Linked DNA regions of Oryzias latipes. The protein of the gene in region 3 interacts with the protein of the main gene of each other region in a pairwise test. Links are inferred from orthologs where the notes say so. Each region holds a gene or a part of one and is shown on either strand. Other genes may lie near its edges. The genes, in order: trim23, phosphoribosyltransferase domain-containing protein 1, flad1 and syntenin-1.

Region 1 (3,079 bases), on a different chromosome or scaffold from region 3:
AATAACATCCATTTGGTTTAAATGTAAATTGTTAAATAAATTGAAATCAAGTCAATCTGATTGGTAGTTCTACTCTGATCCATTTCTTTCTGCTGGAGCCTTAAATTGTGATAGAAAAGGTGAAAAATCATTCATTGATTGAGTAATAGCGGTTTATTTATAGAAGTCTATAGGTTTTTGGCTTCTGGGAGCCAGGATTTACCTCCTGTTTGGGACGCCAGGGGGGAGGAGTCACTCCGTCCAGTTTTCATATGCAGTCAGCTTAAAGTGAGCTTTGCACACAAGCATTTACTACAACTCGACTCTCTGGATGAGGACGACTACAGGACAAGTCTGTGGTGCAATTCCCTCAAAGTGAGTTTACAAAAAAAAGTCTAAAAACAACTTTAGATAAAGTTAAAAAAAAGTCTGTTCCTGCTGTTACTGAGACAATTTCCAGAAGACCCCATCTGCGAAGTTCTTGGTCGATAAAAAAAGAAACTAAAGCTGAGCAAAATCTCCTTTTTCATTTAACCACTATAAGTTAATCAGAAGAATAACAAGTGAAGCACCAACCTTGAGTGTTGAGATAATAGTGTTTCCAGAGCGGCCTCAGCTTATGCTTTCCACCAACGTCCCAGATGGTAAATTTTAAGTTCTTGTACTCGACGGTCTCCACGTTGAAGCCTCAAAAAAGAACCAGAACCAAGTTTCATTCAACTCAATCTTTCAAAGATCGTATGGTTAACCAGTGCAGACGTCTTTACCGATGGTTGGGATGGGCTGCATGAACTCGTCTTGCTTCAGCTTGAATAGAATGGTTGTTTTTCCAGCCCCATCGAGCCCCAGAGTCACCACCCGGATCTCCATCTTTGGTCCGATGTGAACTCGGTTGTCCTGAAGACACGTTTCAGTTTAGCTTTGGGTTTGTCACCGCGAGGCAAAGGTTTCCAAACGCAGACGAAGACCTTGGTGAAGGTGACGGGGATGCCGGCGTCCAGCTGGATGTGGTCTGCCAGCTCCGTGAACTGGTGCTGCTGCTTCTGAAGCGTCTCCAGTAAACAGCTGATCTCCTGCTTTGCCAGAACAACCCTGCAGTCGTCCTGCATCGGGAGAGAAGCCGCACGCAAACACAACACGGTGCTTTCAATGCCTTGGAACGCACCACTCTACTCCTACTGATTCAGAGAAGTTATCATGAACAAAAAAACTGATCCAAATTCTAAAACACACGAACATTTTCAAAATAAGATCAAGGCTCTGTCCAAATTCCCACCATAACCCCTAACTACTAAAAAACTCTATAGTGCTGCACTATGTCGAGCCCTGAATTTTAACAGCAATTCGGACGCCACGCTCACTACTTTTGTTTTAAACGGCGAATATGATGTCATCAATTTCACGAAGTGCTGTGAGCGTTTTGCGACGATTATTTATGAGTCCACTGTCTCCTGAAAATAAAAACATTGATGGTCTATTAAAAAAATACATTTTAACGCATTTATTTTGGTATAAAATGTTCCGACGCAATGCATTGTGGTCTATATTAAATGATATAGTGAGCATCGATGCACACAGGTTTTTTTGCAGAGACTTCAGGGAAATTTCCAGGGCACTGGATTTTGGAATTGTAGATTCGGACAGAACTAGAAAATGCTGAAGGCACTATTTAGTACGGTGGCCCAGAAGGGTCACAACACAACACATTAACTTTACACACAACACATTAACTCACAACACAACACATTAACTTTACACACAACACATTAAATCACAACACAACAAATTAACTTTACACACAACACATTAACTTTACACACAACACATTAACTTTACAACACAACACATTAACTCACAACACAACACATTAATCACAACACAACACAATAACTCACAACACAACACATTAACTCACAACACAACACATTAACTCACAACACAACACAATAACTCACAACACAACACAATAAATTACAACACAACACATTAACTTTACACACAACACATTAACTTTACAACACAACACATTAACTCACAACACAACACATTAATCACAACACAACACAATAACTCACAACACAACACATTAACTCACAACACAACACAATAACTCACAACACAACACATTAACTCACAATACAACACAATAACTCACAACACAACACAATAACTCACAACACATTAACTCACAACACAACACATTAACTCACAACGGAAGTAAAGCTGCAATGGAAGTGCTTTTATTCTGAAATTTCAACTGGGCTGAGCGGCTAACTGCCTCACAGAAAGTAACGTCACAGTGAGCTGTGGAGGGAGCATGATTTTCTACAAGAGAAGCTAGCAGCAGCGTTGCCAGATTGGGCGGTTTTGGGTGTAAATTTGCGGTCAAAAATGCATAATTTGTATGGTTTAAAGGTCGGTTCAGCGGGTTTTTTCCCACTCATGAATATATAATAGCGGCCTACGTTAGGCCGTGTGGCTTTTGGAGTTCTACTGAAGCTCCGTGAACGGCAGAGCTTAATGGACCGGGTTTTGTCATCTAACCTGTTGTTGGGGGAGTGCAACGCCCCGCCTCTTAGAAATTGTGTTCATTAAAGCCTGACAGTGGGGATTTCTCCACATGTGTCGTGTCAAGTGTTGGGGACCGCGTGCGTGTGTGAGAGGAAGAGGGAGGGGAAGAAAGGAGAGGAGCGCGTGCAGGGACTGGGAGGGTGTGTGGGTGGGTGGGGGGTGTTGGGGACCGAGTGAGTGTGAGAGGAGGGGGCTGAAGAACGGAGAGGAGCGGAGCACGCGCAGCGACAGAGAGGGGTGTGAGTGCAGCGCGGAGGAGTGTGCGTTAACATTGTGTAGCTTCTCTTGTAGAAGAAACATGCTCCCTCCACAGCTCACTGTGACGTTACTTTCTGTTAGGCAGTTAGCCAATCAGCCCAGTGGAAATTTCAGAATAAAAGCACTTCCATTGCTGCTTTACTTCCGTTGTGAGTTAATGTGTTGTGTTGTGAGTTAATCTGTTGTGAGTTATTGTGTTGTGTTGTGAGTTAATGTGTTGTGTTGTGAGTTATTGTGTTGTGTTGTGAGTTAATGTGTTGTGAGTTAATGT
Region 2 (4,013 bases), on a different chromosome or scaffold from region 3:
CACTCCCACACATTTTTAACCCATGATCATTGGATGTCAACATCATCACTTCCTGCCCTGCAGCAGGATGAAAGCTCACCAGGTAACTCTTCAGGCGGATGAAGTGAACTCTCATGGGAATTGTGTGGTCGGAGTTGCAGCTGAGAGCTTTGATCCTGTCCACCAGGTCGGCGCAGAACTGGTAACCTCCTTTCAGCACGCACAGAACCACAATGTCATGGTCGCCCAGGTCATCCATGATGTTCCGAGCCAGGCGCTCCGTCCTTGAAACGACACAACAAAGAGGCTCTGCAGCAGGAGTTCCCAAAGCTGTCCAGGTTATTTCATAAAAATGTGACATCAAATGGCTTTAGAGCCTTTTAAAAAGGTTTTTTGTTTTTCAAATTCCAATTTCTTTTGTATTTTTTCATGAGCGCCAGGAAAAAAAAATCTATTTTTTTAACACATTTTTGCACTTTATGAAGTAGTGTACATCACAAGAGTTTATGTAATTAGGTTTATGCAGGCAGAACAAAGAAATCTATGGGAAGACAGATTGTGAGAGGGGAAAAATAATCCAATCCATTTTTAGGAACTGAGACCATTTTGTTTCATAACCATTTCCTCTTTAGATATTTTATTGTTTAAGAAGACATAATGGAGACATAATGATTCCATTAATAAAGAGTTTCACTAAAGTTCCTAATAGTAATAAATTTACTTGTTTTGTTGTACATTTCCTCATTATTGCAAAGTGTTTTTTACAAAATGTGACACGTTTGAAAAAAAAAACCTCATCTGTAGCAGTTAAGATTAGGTTTGTGCATGGCAGACAAATTAAACATTAGCATCTCTTGAATTTTGTTTGACATACTTTGATTTCTATAGTATTTCATTTGTCACACAAATAAGTTAAAGATATTTGGTAGATTGTAATTTCTGTTAACAAAAAATAGTATTTTTAAGTCTAATACAAGTAGTCTATTCTAAAAGTGGTACTTATATATTTTAATTATTGTGTGATTAAAATTTTCAAATTTAGTCTGTAAAGTATTCAGTTAGTATACTTTCTACACACTCAACATTATACTTGATATACTTATACACAAGTATACTTCATAAAATAGACCTCAAGTGTACGTTTTTTTTTTACCTTTTGCAAAGGTTTATAGCTAAAATGAGGATGGAGTGGTGAAAAGTGAGGAATCTAAACTAAAACTACTTTTTAATAGCAGTTTTTATTTTAGAAATTGTAAACTAATGTAATTAGGATTTTTTTAATAACTTCCTCTACCTTTAAGGTTTACTTTTCTTTCCCAATCCTGAATTCTAGCAGGTTATTTCTAAACAAAGTGAGTAAGCTTTTACTTTTAACAGATTTCTTTGTTTTAAAAGCCTAAAAACGTTAAAGTTCCCCTCTGATCCCCTTTTGATCTATTTTCAAAGTGTTCCCTTGTTTTTTTTAAAATCATAAATAAAAAAAAACGTCTTTTGTTATCTAGGACATAGTTTCTGCAGAGCAGCAGTAGTTCATGTGAAGTTTACTTCTGAGTGACCACTGGCACAAAGCAGGCCTACCCTTTTCCCACCATCCCTTTTGTTTACACTCTCTCCCACTGGCTTACAGCCCCTCACAACCCCATCCTAACATTTTCAGTCCAACAGAAATGCAGAGCACTATTGCAGCCGTGCAGTTTTTGTACCAGATTCCAGCTCAGACAAGGAGAACAAAGACGTGCATGGATCTATTTGTCTTCAAGTGGATGCTTTAGAATGGAGCAGAAGTATGTGAGCTTGTGGCTTGCTGTCATAGGCCCTACGTCACACCTACAAGCTTTTTACAACTGCATTTTTGTTTGCTCCTGATACACAATGATTTGAATAAAGAAATACTCAGAAATGCAATTTTAAGCTTACATCTTCCGTCAGGAGAAAAATGCTGTTGAACATGTTAAAAACACTTTTTTTTTTTTTTGGAGTGGTTGTTTAAACTGTTGGAAAAACAGTTTATTTCTTTTGGAATTGGTGTCACATTAGGAACATGCATGTGTGGAATGAGGAGCAGGGCTGTTCCCTTCAAATCATATGTGAAAACTTGTCTGGCAGTGCCATCCCACACATGCATGTTCATTTTAAATGCTGCCCTATGGAAAAAGAAAATCTACAACAGTTTAAGGATTATTGTAAAGGTGATCTACATAAAACAAACTTTACTTTTGGTGCATTTTACTACACAGGAATTAGATGGCATCCTATAAAATCTTTGGAAGACACATGGAGCTATGATGTAACCTCACAGAAGGCCAAACATCTGGGAGGTCATCTGACAGGCCTCCAGAGTTTTGTACCTATCCATGATGACGCCATGCGGAATGATGACGCAGTCCAAGTCTCCGTAGTAGTGCGCTGGGTAGCTGAAGAGGTCCAGGCTGTAACCTGGCCAGTCGTCGTGAATCTGAGAGGAAACGCAGCAGAAAGCATTAGATCTTCAGTCTGCATCTTTGCAAGTTTACTGTATTTTTAGTTTTTTAAAGGTGCAAACTTCTACAGTCTACACGTGGCGCCACCCCCTGCAAAACTGCGCAAACGCGTTCATTCACTTCTTCGTTTCCTCTCGTTAAATTACCACAATGCCCTCGCTTTTGCTCTCGGCCCGGACAGAAACTTCAGCCATTTTGAAGAAGAAGAAAAAAAACCCGCTCTCGTTTCAACCAAAGTGCTGCGAGTCTGTGCGGAGGGGTTTGACCTGGTCGGGAGGAGGATCTGCGCGGGGGAATGTGGAGCACTATTGTGAAACCATCCGGGAGTCCCTGCCCCTCTGCAGTGTCACATGCGGCCACCAGGGGCGCTGTGACACCACAATTCCTCAGAATGGAGCGGCCGAGTCAAGAGAACACGCTTTCTTATCTTAACACAATAAAAACATTTCTTTCTTAAAAGACCCCAAAAACAAACAGTTACTGCACTAAATTCTTATCACCTAATTTTTAAAATGTGCCCCTGTTATTATTATTTGAATGCCATGTTAACATTGTTTTCATCATGTCTGCAAACAGTTTTTTTTCAATCTGCTTCTTAATTTTTTAGTATTTAATATTAATTTAAACACGTAAAAGAATCTGTTGTTTTTAAACAAATACAACTATAGAATCATCTTTGAGCAGGTTTGATGCTCTTAATTTGACATAAGTCTTCAAAATTCTTCCCTAATATTGGAAATTTTGAATATAAAATTCTATCTATCTATCTATATAGATTCAATATAGATAGATAGACTTTACTCATCCCACAATGGGGAAATTCTCTTATCTTCAGCAGCAAAAAAAAGACATTCAGGAATTCAAACAACCAAAAAAAGGTGGTGTTCACAGAGGATAGTGACCTTCAGAAAAAATATATATATATATATATATATATATTTATATATTTATATTTATATATGTTGTCCCTTCTTTTTACTTTTTAGTAGGATTTACACTTGTATGTAAACTAAAAATATTTACATCAGCATGTAAAAAGAAGGACTATACAAAAATGTTCCCGTTGTACAGAAGATGTAAAATAGTACATTTATGCTTTATTGCCTAGATCTAAATAAATCTTAAAAATTAATTCAAATCTGGCTCCTTAAGTAAAAATAATTGTGTATTTCTTCAGACAAGGCAAGGCAAGTTTATTTGTATAGCACAATTCATACCCAAAGTAATTCAAGGTGATTCACAAAACAGAAAAATACATTAATATCACAATACATCATAGAAATCATCAACGTAAAATTTACTTTAAAAGAAAAGAAAAAAAAATAGAAAATTGATTTAAAAAGAGAGGAAGGAAATGAAAGAAAAGTGCAGATAGGACCTTTCAGTCATATACACGGCTAAACAGAAATGTTTTAAGTCTAGATTTGAACATGAACACAGAAGAGGCCTGTCTTACGACTTCAGGGAGGCTGTTCCAGATTTTAGCTGCAGAATATTGAAACGCTGATTCCCCTTGTTTAGTTCTGACTCTGGGAATCAACAGGAGGCCGGTCC
Region 3 (4,158 bases):
GCTCTCCGAATCCAGGACCAGTCTGACTTTGCTGTAGTTACTCAACCAGTCGGGGTAGGACCCAAGAGCCACCCTTTTGCCCCAGCTGGCCTGCAGTTTGGTCAGAGTGGGTGCGATGTCTGTCTCATCTGCATCCACAAACACCTTACAGGACAAGTTTGGTTACCCCTTTTTGCCCTAGTAAAACACATGAAAATCCTTGAATGACTTGCATGATGATGGCGTTACCTCACGACTGTGAAAGGTGGTTCCTGAAGTAGCAAAGAGCTGTTCCAGCCCCGTGAAGGCCCTCTCCATTAAAGCCGGGATCCCAGGGAACACATACACATTACGCACACTGACCTGTGAGAATGAGCATTCATACAAGAAAAACAAACACGTCTTCACCACAAAAAATATCCTGACCTATAAGAACTTCTTAAAATCATGAAAATTTTTATCTGAACCTGACAAGATGCATGAAATTCATTTTCAAGGATATTGAAGAAGTGAATATAAATTACTTAAAGCTATGAATCCCATTCTGTAAACATTAACATACCACAGGGTAGAGTTGTGGTTTCCCAGTTTGAGGATCCACTCCATAGTTGAGTTTGGCAGAACGGGGCACCTTAGCCATCTTCATGGCCGGACTGTTTTTGTCCGTCCCCCCAAAGAATTCCTTAACCAGCAAGGTGAGATCCGGATGGTGATACATCTCCTCTTGGAATGCCATGGCAATGCTTTCCAAGGTGACATCGTCATGGGTGGGTCCGATGCCCCCCGAGGTGAACAGGTGTGTATACTGAGAGGAGAGGAGGGCTACCTCTTTGGCTATGACCTCCTGTATATCTGGTATGACGGTTATACGCTGTACAGAGACGCCAAGTCTGCGAAGTGCTTGTGTTAGAAAGGTGCTGTTGGTGTCCACTGTGTAGCCCTGAAAAGAAGACAAAGTTTGACTCTAGAGTTTGCAGCCACACACACAAGTGACATTCAAGGACTACAAAAAACTCCAGACCGCCGCCTGATGAAATTCAAGGAGTCACAGTGAGCGTATGCTGAGAGTGAGGCGTGACATTGGACGAAAATCAAAGAGCTCATGTTTAAATCATGATCATGTCAAGTCAAGGAGTTATAGTCAACTTGTCATTTTAAATATGAAACATCACTGCCACATCAAATAACCATCACAAGGTTTTCCTTGGATCTTGAAATGGGGATCTGAGACGGGATAAGAGGCCCAAAATGATAACGACTCACTGCACATGTTAATAACATCAAACATCGTTTATTTAAGCCGTATTCAGGAGGCAGTTGTGCGTGATCTTTCAAGAAGCGAGCCTCTGCCACTCATTCTGAGGTTGAAAGCAACACAAAGCAAAAATATCAATCAACAACAAAAAAACCTCACCTTTAGAATCTCATCTCCAATGATAAGAATGGCTGCAGTGGGAGCCGCAGTGGAGCTCTGCCTCTCGGCGGACATGGCTGCTCTGCTGAGTTGTGCCGTCAGCCTCCTCACACGCACCCCCGCTCTACTTAAACTGGGCAAGGAAAAGCTGGGAAGAAATGTGTGACGTATAAGTGTTCAACTCCAAAACAAATTCCAAACCATCTCTTAAAAGTCGCCTTTAAAGGCTAAAATTAGTCACTATATGTTCCTTCATGCACAAACAACAATGCTTACATAAACATGGATCCACACAGACCACCCAAAAAAAGATCTACAGCAGTTCAGACCCTCTTTCCCTTCATGATTCCTATTCAATTAGGGGGTGTCTAGGGAAACAAAAAACATAAGAAGAAATAAGGGCAAAGAGCATTTAGAAAAACGAATGTAGTTCTGAGATTTTGAACATCGGCAATTTTTATTTAAAATGCAAGTCATGTAATAATTTGGGTCAGAAATGCTATTGTCCACCTTCAAAATCTTCCATGGAACAACTAAAACAAAGTCAACATGGACTTTCATAATTATGCTGCAGTATCTAACATAAACCTTTATTTGTTGATGTTGCTAAAATTCATATTGCCAATTTGTATTATACAATAAATTTATGAAATAAAGAAAACGATCACATTGTAAGTCTGCAACGTTGGAGACCCAGTTTTTCTTTACTGTGATTATTTTCTAGTAAGTTACAGAGAGAGTAGCAACGTTGGACACAATCTCAGTCTTATGTACCCTTTACATATTATTTTTTTACACCAACTTAAATACAGTTATGGACAAAGTTCTGTATTTTTATATTTTAAAAGAAGCAACTACTTTGGGGGAAAAAACTAGTGCCCGCGTTAAGGACTTTCAAATGTACGCTAGTAACTCTGAAGTCTTCTTGCTAGGTACTACTTCAACCTTTGGAAGGGAAGTCAACAACATCGCATTATTGCTAAAATACTAAATACCTTTTTATACTATTAATATAAACATTTGCGATTCTCAGTTAAGATGCGCTCGTAGTGTATCGAATTTGTAGTCCGGTATGTGAACATTATGTCCTTAATTTAAAGGTAACTTACTGTTACTCTGAAGCCGCATATGTCCTCGTTATGAATCCCCACAGCTGTGACGACGGTGGCTCAAGCCCTTTTGGTCCAATCACAAAAAGGAAAGTGACGTTAACAGCCAATGACTTTCAAGGGGCGGGTTTTAACGTTATGCATGTTCTTACAATATCCGGAAGCACGATAACGGTGATCGTCTTAGTTTGTCCAGGTGGTGTGAAGCTGTAGTTTGACTGTACCGAGAAAGGCATTGCATACGTCTGGTATCTAAAAAGTCTTTTCCCCCAGATTTGACGATTTGAGCTACTGTCAAGCTGACCGTCGCGGAAGGATGCGAGGGACGACTTCTTCGAAGGGGAGAGAAAAGGACAACAGCTACTCTCGCACGCCCCTAGTGGCTGGGAGGATCAAATCGGAAATTTCTGATCAGATTATCAACCTTGAAGATGATCAATCCGGAAATGTTGATGGCGCATTTTTGTTTATGTAATATTTTCTGTAAAAAGAGGCGAAATTTTAGCGACGTGTTGAAGGTTTAGTGTCTATTTTAAAGACAGATAAAAAAAAACCTGACCTACATTTAAATTATTGCACAACATTAGAATACAAAAAAACAAACTTTAAACCAAATTGATCATGTTGAGCAGTTCAGTGTCCTTGTCTGTTTCCCCCCTTTTTTTATTCTTTTTATGGAATTGTCAGATTACATTTTAAAAAAATTTTAGATGGTAATTTCTAAAATGGAGAATCAAGGATGTGGAAGTCAAATCTGAAAAATAAACAAAAGGATCCTGTCTTTTCAAAATTAGTCCTGGAGTCTTTATGAGAGAGAGAGAGAGAGAGAGAGAGAGAGAGAGAGAGAGAGAGAGAGAGAGAGCAGATGCATTTAATAAATGTATATAAATAAATATTTAATTAATAAATAAAATCCAGAGCATCTCCAATTTGCAGCAGTAACGCAGGTCAATAAAGGTCTCCTTTATTGTTGTGAGCAGTCTCTTTAAGTCTTGGGTTTAGATTTTCTTTTGTTGGCATTGTTTTGTTGCTTTTTAAGTTTCATTACTTTATTGCAGTTTGACAGAATTTACTCACAAAGACATCCATGACTGCAGTAAGTTCTGTCCCAGCAGAGGCTGCAGTGAGCTGAAGAAAGGTTAGTTTATCTTACACATCACTCATGTATAATAGAGTAGTAAAAATAAAACCTGCAGATATTCCTGCAGATTGATCAGTTTTTGACCTGTATAATAAAAGGTTAGCCTTCACTCTCCTGACAGACGACCAGCACCCATCGTTTATTTAAACCATCAGTTTTACTTCTATTAATGTGAGGACACAGGGCTAAAGTTTTTTTAGACTATGAAACTTGACAAAAACATTTTTAGAAGAGCTTTTCTCAGTTTTTGGTTATAAATAAAAATAGCCGTTCTTCCTCATGAAGTAATACAATATGAAGATGTTATGTACATGTTGCTGCTGCAGTCTAAACATGATGTTGTTTTTGTAGATAATCAATGTAATAAATCTAGCTATTTTGTAAAAAATAATCTATTTTTTAAAAATATTAACATTATTGTTATATTGTTGCAGAAATGTGTCCATATAAAGATGTTATAAAGTTATTTAGAAGGGAAAACATACAAAAAAAGGTGGGGGGGGGGCTTTTCTGAG
Region 4 (4,201 bases), on a different chromosome or scaffold from region 3:
AATTACGTTTTTCTTATTAAAAAAAAGACAGAAGATGCAAAAATACTAAGTAAAAGGCAAGAAAAATTTAGCTTAGACAGAACACGTTGTACCCAAAGTATTCATCATGTATACAGTCTATTTACTGATATAGTCATCTCACATGGCATGTGTTTACGATCCAAGTGCCCGACTCTTAGTTCTCTTCTTCTGCATAGCTTCCCGTTTCAGACAGGAGCTCAATGGTAGGAAATGATAGGGACGTTTGTGTCTCCAAACAGGTGCTGTTAAAGTAAAGGCGGATGTGTTTTACACAATGTGAGATCACGAGAAATGCCAGGTGAAGTTTGCATTCTCTTTTTATTACCATTTGCGTCAGCAGATCTTATTAGATAGAAACGTGCAGCTGTTAGATCAAGTTAATGCTGCTTTTTAGGAACCTTTTTATTTTATGTGAAAACGTTTCAAATCCTCCAAAATCCGCAAAGGAATCTCAACTGATCAGAATCTATCCACCAGTTCACACACAGAATGACACTGAAACAGCGCGGTCTAATCAGGAAAAATCATGTGACACATAGACAGGAAAAGACGCTGGAGCAGGACTTTTAACATGTCGGTTAAGACCAAAGAGGCCACCGTGCAGCACTAAGTCAATCATTATATCGATGTGCATTAGGAGGCTGATGTAAAGTATGGTTCTGAGATCAGAGTAGCTCTTCTGTGAGGCAGACTGTCAGCTTTGAAGAGCTGCTGCTTCAAGTGTGAAGATTAGAAACATCAGAGCTACAAAAACAGGTCCTACAATCCAGTTTATGTAGAGAGCATAAATCAAGCAACAGTTGGTTTTTTAACATCACTGAGGGCTCACTCCATTCTGCTCATCTCAGTCCTCCAGGACAAGTGCATCATTGTGTGTGTGTGGACACAGAGAGGCCTTTTTGTTAACCTTCCACTGTTTACTCTTCAGCTATGTGTTTGCTTGCTTTGTATGCCTCTCTCATACAGACTCTCTGGCTGAACATGAATACGCCTGGAAACAAAACAGCAGCATTTGAGCAACCCTTCAGATGACATAACAGGATCATTGAGACGTCTGCCACTGCGACGGAAAACAAGGCGCAGATCATTTTACTGAAATATACAAGAAGGAACCCTTTCTGAAGGAGGTTAAAAAAGTTTTTTTTATGGATTGTTAAGGTAAAGATTTCTGATGACGGAAAATATATATGAAGGTCACATTAACAAGTGAAGGTTAACATGACAAAAGAATTTTCTTTTGTTTCAGACTGTTAAATATGTGTGTACTGGTTTCCTGTTAGTTTTTTTAAAACAAATGTTTCATCTAACTTGCTTGCAAAAAAAAGTCAAGAAACTCAAAGTAGTGTTATATTAGGAGGAATGCCAAAGAAAGCTTGTGCAAAGGCTCAGACACACCAGGCCTGGCATGTGTTTGCTCCCATTCAACATATTTTGGTGTGAGCAGCCCATTCAGCAGAACTCGATCTAAAGCTTCTGCTTTATTCTGAAAATCTAGCAGATTATTCATTTACTGTTTTTTTTTTTTTTTTTATAAACTTTACTTCTACTTGAGTCTATAAATATAATGTCAAACTAACAAATTCCTTTAAAAACATGAACGGAAAACAAACAAATGAAAACATGTTAAAGCAGCCCTTAACTTCTAAGAATTATATTTGGTTTGGTTTAAGATGGACTCACCACACACTTAAAATAACCAAAAATGACAGGCTTAAATAATTAAAAAGGTTTAATTTATAAGTGATAGTTCATCCCTGTTCTTACCAGTGTTGTGCCTCAGTTCTTATAACAATTAGCTTATTTTTTTTCTTATTAACCATTAGCCAAACTTTTTGAGTGATCCACTTTGATTGGAAACTTGAGATATACATTTTTTTTATAGTTAGCCACTCTGATATAATTATTTTTCCTATTTTAAATGATATAAGCTTTAAATTTAAACTCTTATCCTATCAAAATAATACATTTTCACTGATCACCATTTATTTTGATAAAGGTACAGCCGGAAGAAACGAGAAACATGACTTATTAAGACTGGAAAGGGGGAAAAAATGCTGACGTCTTCGGGAATCAAGGAAAGAAAAAGGGGAAACTAAAGCAAAAGCATTCAAATTAATTGGCCCGCGTGCTCAAAACTGAGAACAGTTGTGTTGATCAGACACTAATCTCCACAAAGGCCGCTTTGGGTGGGTTTTTAAATAAGTTAACAACCCACAACACTATAAATAAATCAGCAGAATAATCAAATTCTTTATACTCTTGTGATGATGATATTTTAAAACAGACTCTCGTTTCGAGGCGAAGCTAACTTGAGACGCGCGAGATGTTCCTGAACGTTACCCGAAACTGTACACACATATAAGAAGCAGCATTGTTGATATAGAAAACATATATTTTTCACGTTCATAAATACAATAGCATGAGACTGAAGCGAGCGCGTGGATTAAAATAGAATAAAATTTGAAGAAGAAGGAGCTCAAAGAAGCGTCTTTGTTCCGGCATAAACAGCTAGAGGGAGGTTAGCTAACGGCGTTAGCATGTAGGTAAAAACAGAAATTCACCTCAGTTACAGCTACGTACGACAGATGGCCTCGCGGCGATACTTAAAAAAATTAAACATAGCTCACCTGTAGATGTGAATTTGTTTCAAAGTCCAAAAAAAGATGAGCACTCCGTTATTTTCTGCCTCTTCGGTCTTCTCGTCGCAGACACCTTAAGGGGACTTCTAGAAAGTGACGTCACTGTTGGCTTCCTGCTCCTGTGCACCATGTCAATCACAGCTGACGTTATAAGACACGCCCAGTTTCAGTCACATGACCCCTGACTCAGGCTGGTTTTATGAAGGTCTTGTGACTGAACTTCTGTGTGATATAAGGTCATAATAAGTGATACTTATATAAATTAATGTTAGAAGAGAATTGTGTTAATTTAGCTGATAAATTAAATTCCCAAATGATCTTTGACGTGTGTGTAACTGTTCAGTGTTAGGCTTTTCAAGAATGTCTCTGGAAAAAGTTTGTAGATGTTCCAAAATCCTCCATAACCTAGGGCATTAGAAGCATTTTTTATTCTCTTTCCATTTTCTTACATTTTTATACTGTTATAAACCAACATTAGTAATATTTTTTACATCAAATTTCTCCTGGTTTTATCTCAGATGTTGATGTTTGTTTATTACAGTTGTATGACATAGTCTGATTTTGCTGGAGGTTATTTATGAGTCATTCCTTCCGACTGTCACCTCATGCAGGCTTAGTAAAAAAAAAAAAAAAAACACCTTTTATGAGTTGATAGGAGCTCAGATTTGCACACGGTCTCATGGATAAATATTCTTTTTTTTTTTTTTAGGCGGATAAATCCATTTGTCAACCAGTTGATAATTGTTCTTTCTTATTAATGAAACTACACAGTTAAAGTTGGTATGCTCCAGTCAGCTACACTTTAAGCTCCTTAACTCTCCCCTCTGCACCCTTTGGGTGACTGTAGAGATTATTTATGTCTGAAACGTAGGAATAAAATGTCTTTATTGCATTTATGTATAATCAGTAAACATAACTGTTTAAAAAAAATATGTTTACTCTGTTTTTGTGAGCAACATTAACATCATTTTGATGTTCCAAAGGTTGTGGTCGTATTAATGTCTTCAAAGACCTGTGCTCTGCTTTTTCACATATACAGTGGGGCAAAAAAGTATTTGTTACTTATCAATCCTGCAAGTTGTCCCCCTTAAAACGATGAGAGGTCTGTAATGTTCATCATAGGTAAACTTACAACAATATTGCCTCTGGTGTCCTGAGACAGCTCTTAGGTATTGGTCGCGGAGACGTGTCTTTTACACAGGTAACCAATTTAAACTCGTGCCATCAATACAGACCACTGAAGGATGGAGGAGCTTCTTACCTTATATAACCATTCATATTATGTTAGATACCTGCATTTCTGAGAACCCTACCGCATTATCAAACTTTATTTAAAACCCATTGTATAGAACCTGGTCCATGTTTTTTGTTGTGGATCATCATTTCACCTTTTTCTGTTCATTTCCAATTGGCTGCTTCCATGAAATCTCAAAAACACTTGACAGGGATAATGTTGCTAATTGAAAAAGAAAAAAAAAACATGACTCATTGTTATTCATTGAAAAATTACTACTTCTTGTATTGAAAGAATGCAACATTTG

What was found.
Region 1: the proteins of flad1 (region 3) and trim23 interact in binary tests that used the Homo sapiens proteins (3 or more experiments, as listed by UniProt). The two-hybrid records come from large-scale screens. The link is inferred for Oryzias latipes from reciprocal best matches to the Homo sapiens genes FLAD1 and TRIM23.
Region 2: the proteins of flad1 (region 3) and phosphoribosyltransferase domain-containing protein 1 interact in binary tests that used the Homo sapiens proteins (3 or more experiments, as listed by UniProt). The two-hybrid records come from large-scale screens. The link is inferred for Oryzias latipes from reciprocal best matches to the Homo sapiens genes FLAD1 and PRTFDC1.
Region 4: the proteins of flad1 (region 3) and syntenin-1 interact in binary tests that used the Homo sapiens proteins (3 or more experiments, as listed by UniProt). The two-hybrid records come from large-scale screens. The link is inferred for Oryzias latipes from reciprocal best matches to the Homo sapiens genes FLAD1 and SDCBP.

What each region holds. Positions count from the first base shown.
Region 1 is NC_019870.2:3,055,402-3,058,480, forward strand, and holds part of trim23 (E3 ubiquitin-protein ligase TRIM23), read right to left. Parts: intron 1,083-3,079; coding exon 948-1,082; intron 877-947; coding exon 747-876; intron 667-746; coding exon 556-666; intron 1-555.
Region 2 is NC_019875.2:25,189,626-25,193,638, reverse strand, and holds the start of phosphoribosyltransferase domain-containing protein 1, read right to left. Parts: upstream 2,814-4,013; 5' UTR 2,654-2,813; coding exon 2,606-2,653; intron 2,435-2,605; coding exon 2,328-2,434; intron 264-2,327; coding exon 80-263; intron 1-79. UniProt on the Homo sapiens protein: Has low, barely detectable phosphoribosyltransferase activity (in vitro). Binds GMP, IMP and alpha-D-5-phosphoribosyl 1-pyrophosphate (PRPP). Is not expected to contribute to purine metabolism or GMP salvage.
Region 3 is NC_019874.2:18,344,441-18,348,598, reverse strand, and holds the start of flad1 (FAD synthase), read right to left. Parts: upstream 2,858-4,158; 5' UTR 2,655-2,857; intron 2,570-2,654; 5' UTR 2,503-2,569; intron 1,762-2,502; 5' UTR 1,678-1,761; coding exon 1,670-1,677; intron 1,542-1,669; coding exon 1,394-1,541; intron 920-1,393; coding exon 542-919; intron 343-541; coding exon 229-342; intron 145-228; coding exon 1-144. UniProt on the Homo sapiens protein: Catalyzes the adenylation of flavin mononucleotide (FMN) to form flavin adenine dinucleotide (FAD) coenzyme.
Region 4 is NC_019865.2:5,716,962-5,721,162, forward strand, and holds the start of syntenin-1, read right to left. Parts: upstream 2,817-4,201; 5' UTR 2,649-2,816; intron 1-2,648. UniProt on the Homo sapiens protein: Multifunctional adapter protein involved in diverse array of functions including trafficking of transmembrane proteins, neuro and immunomodulation, exosome biogenesis, and tumorigenesis.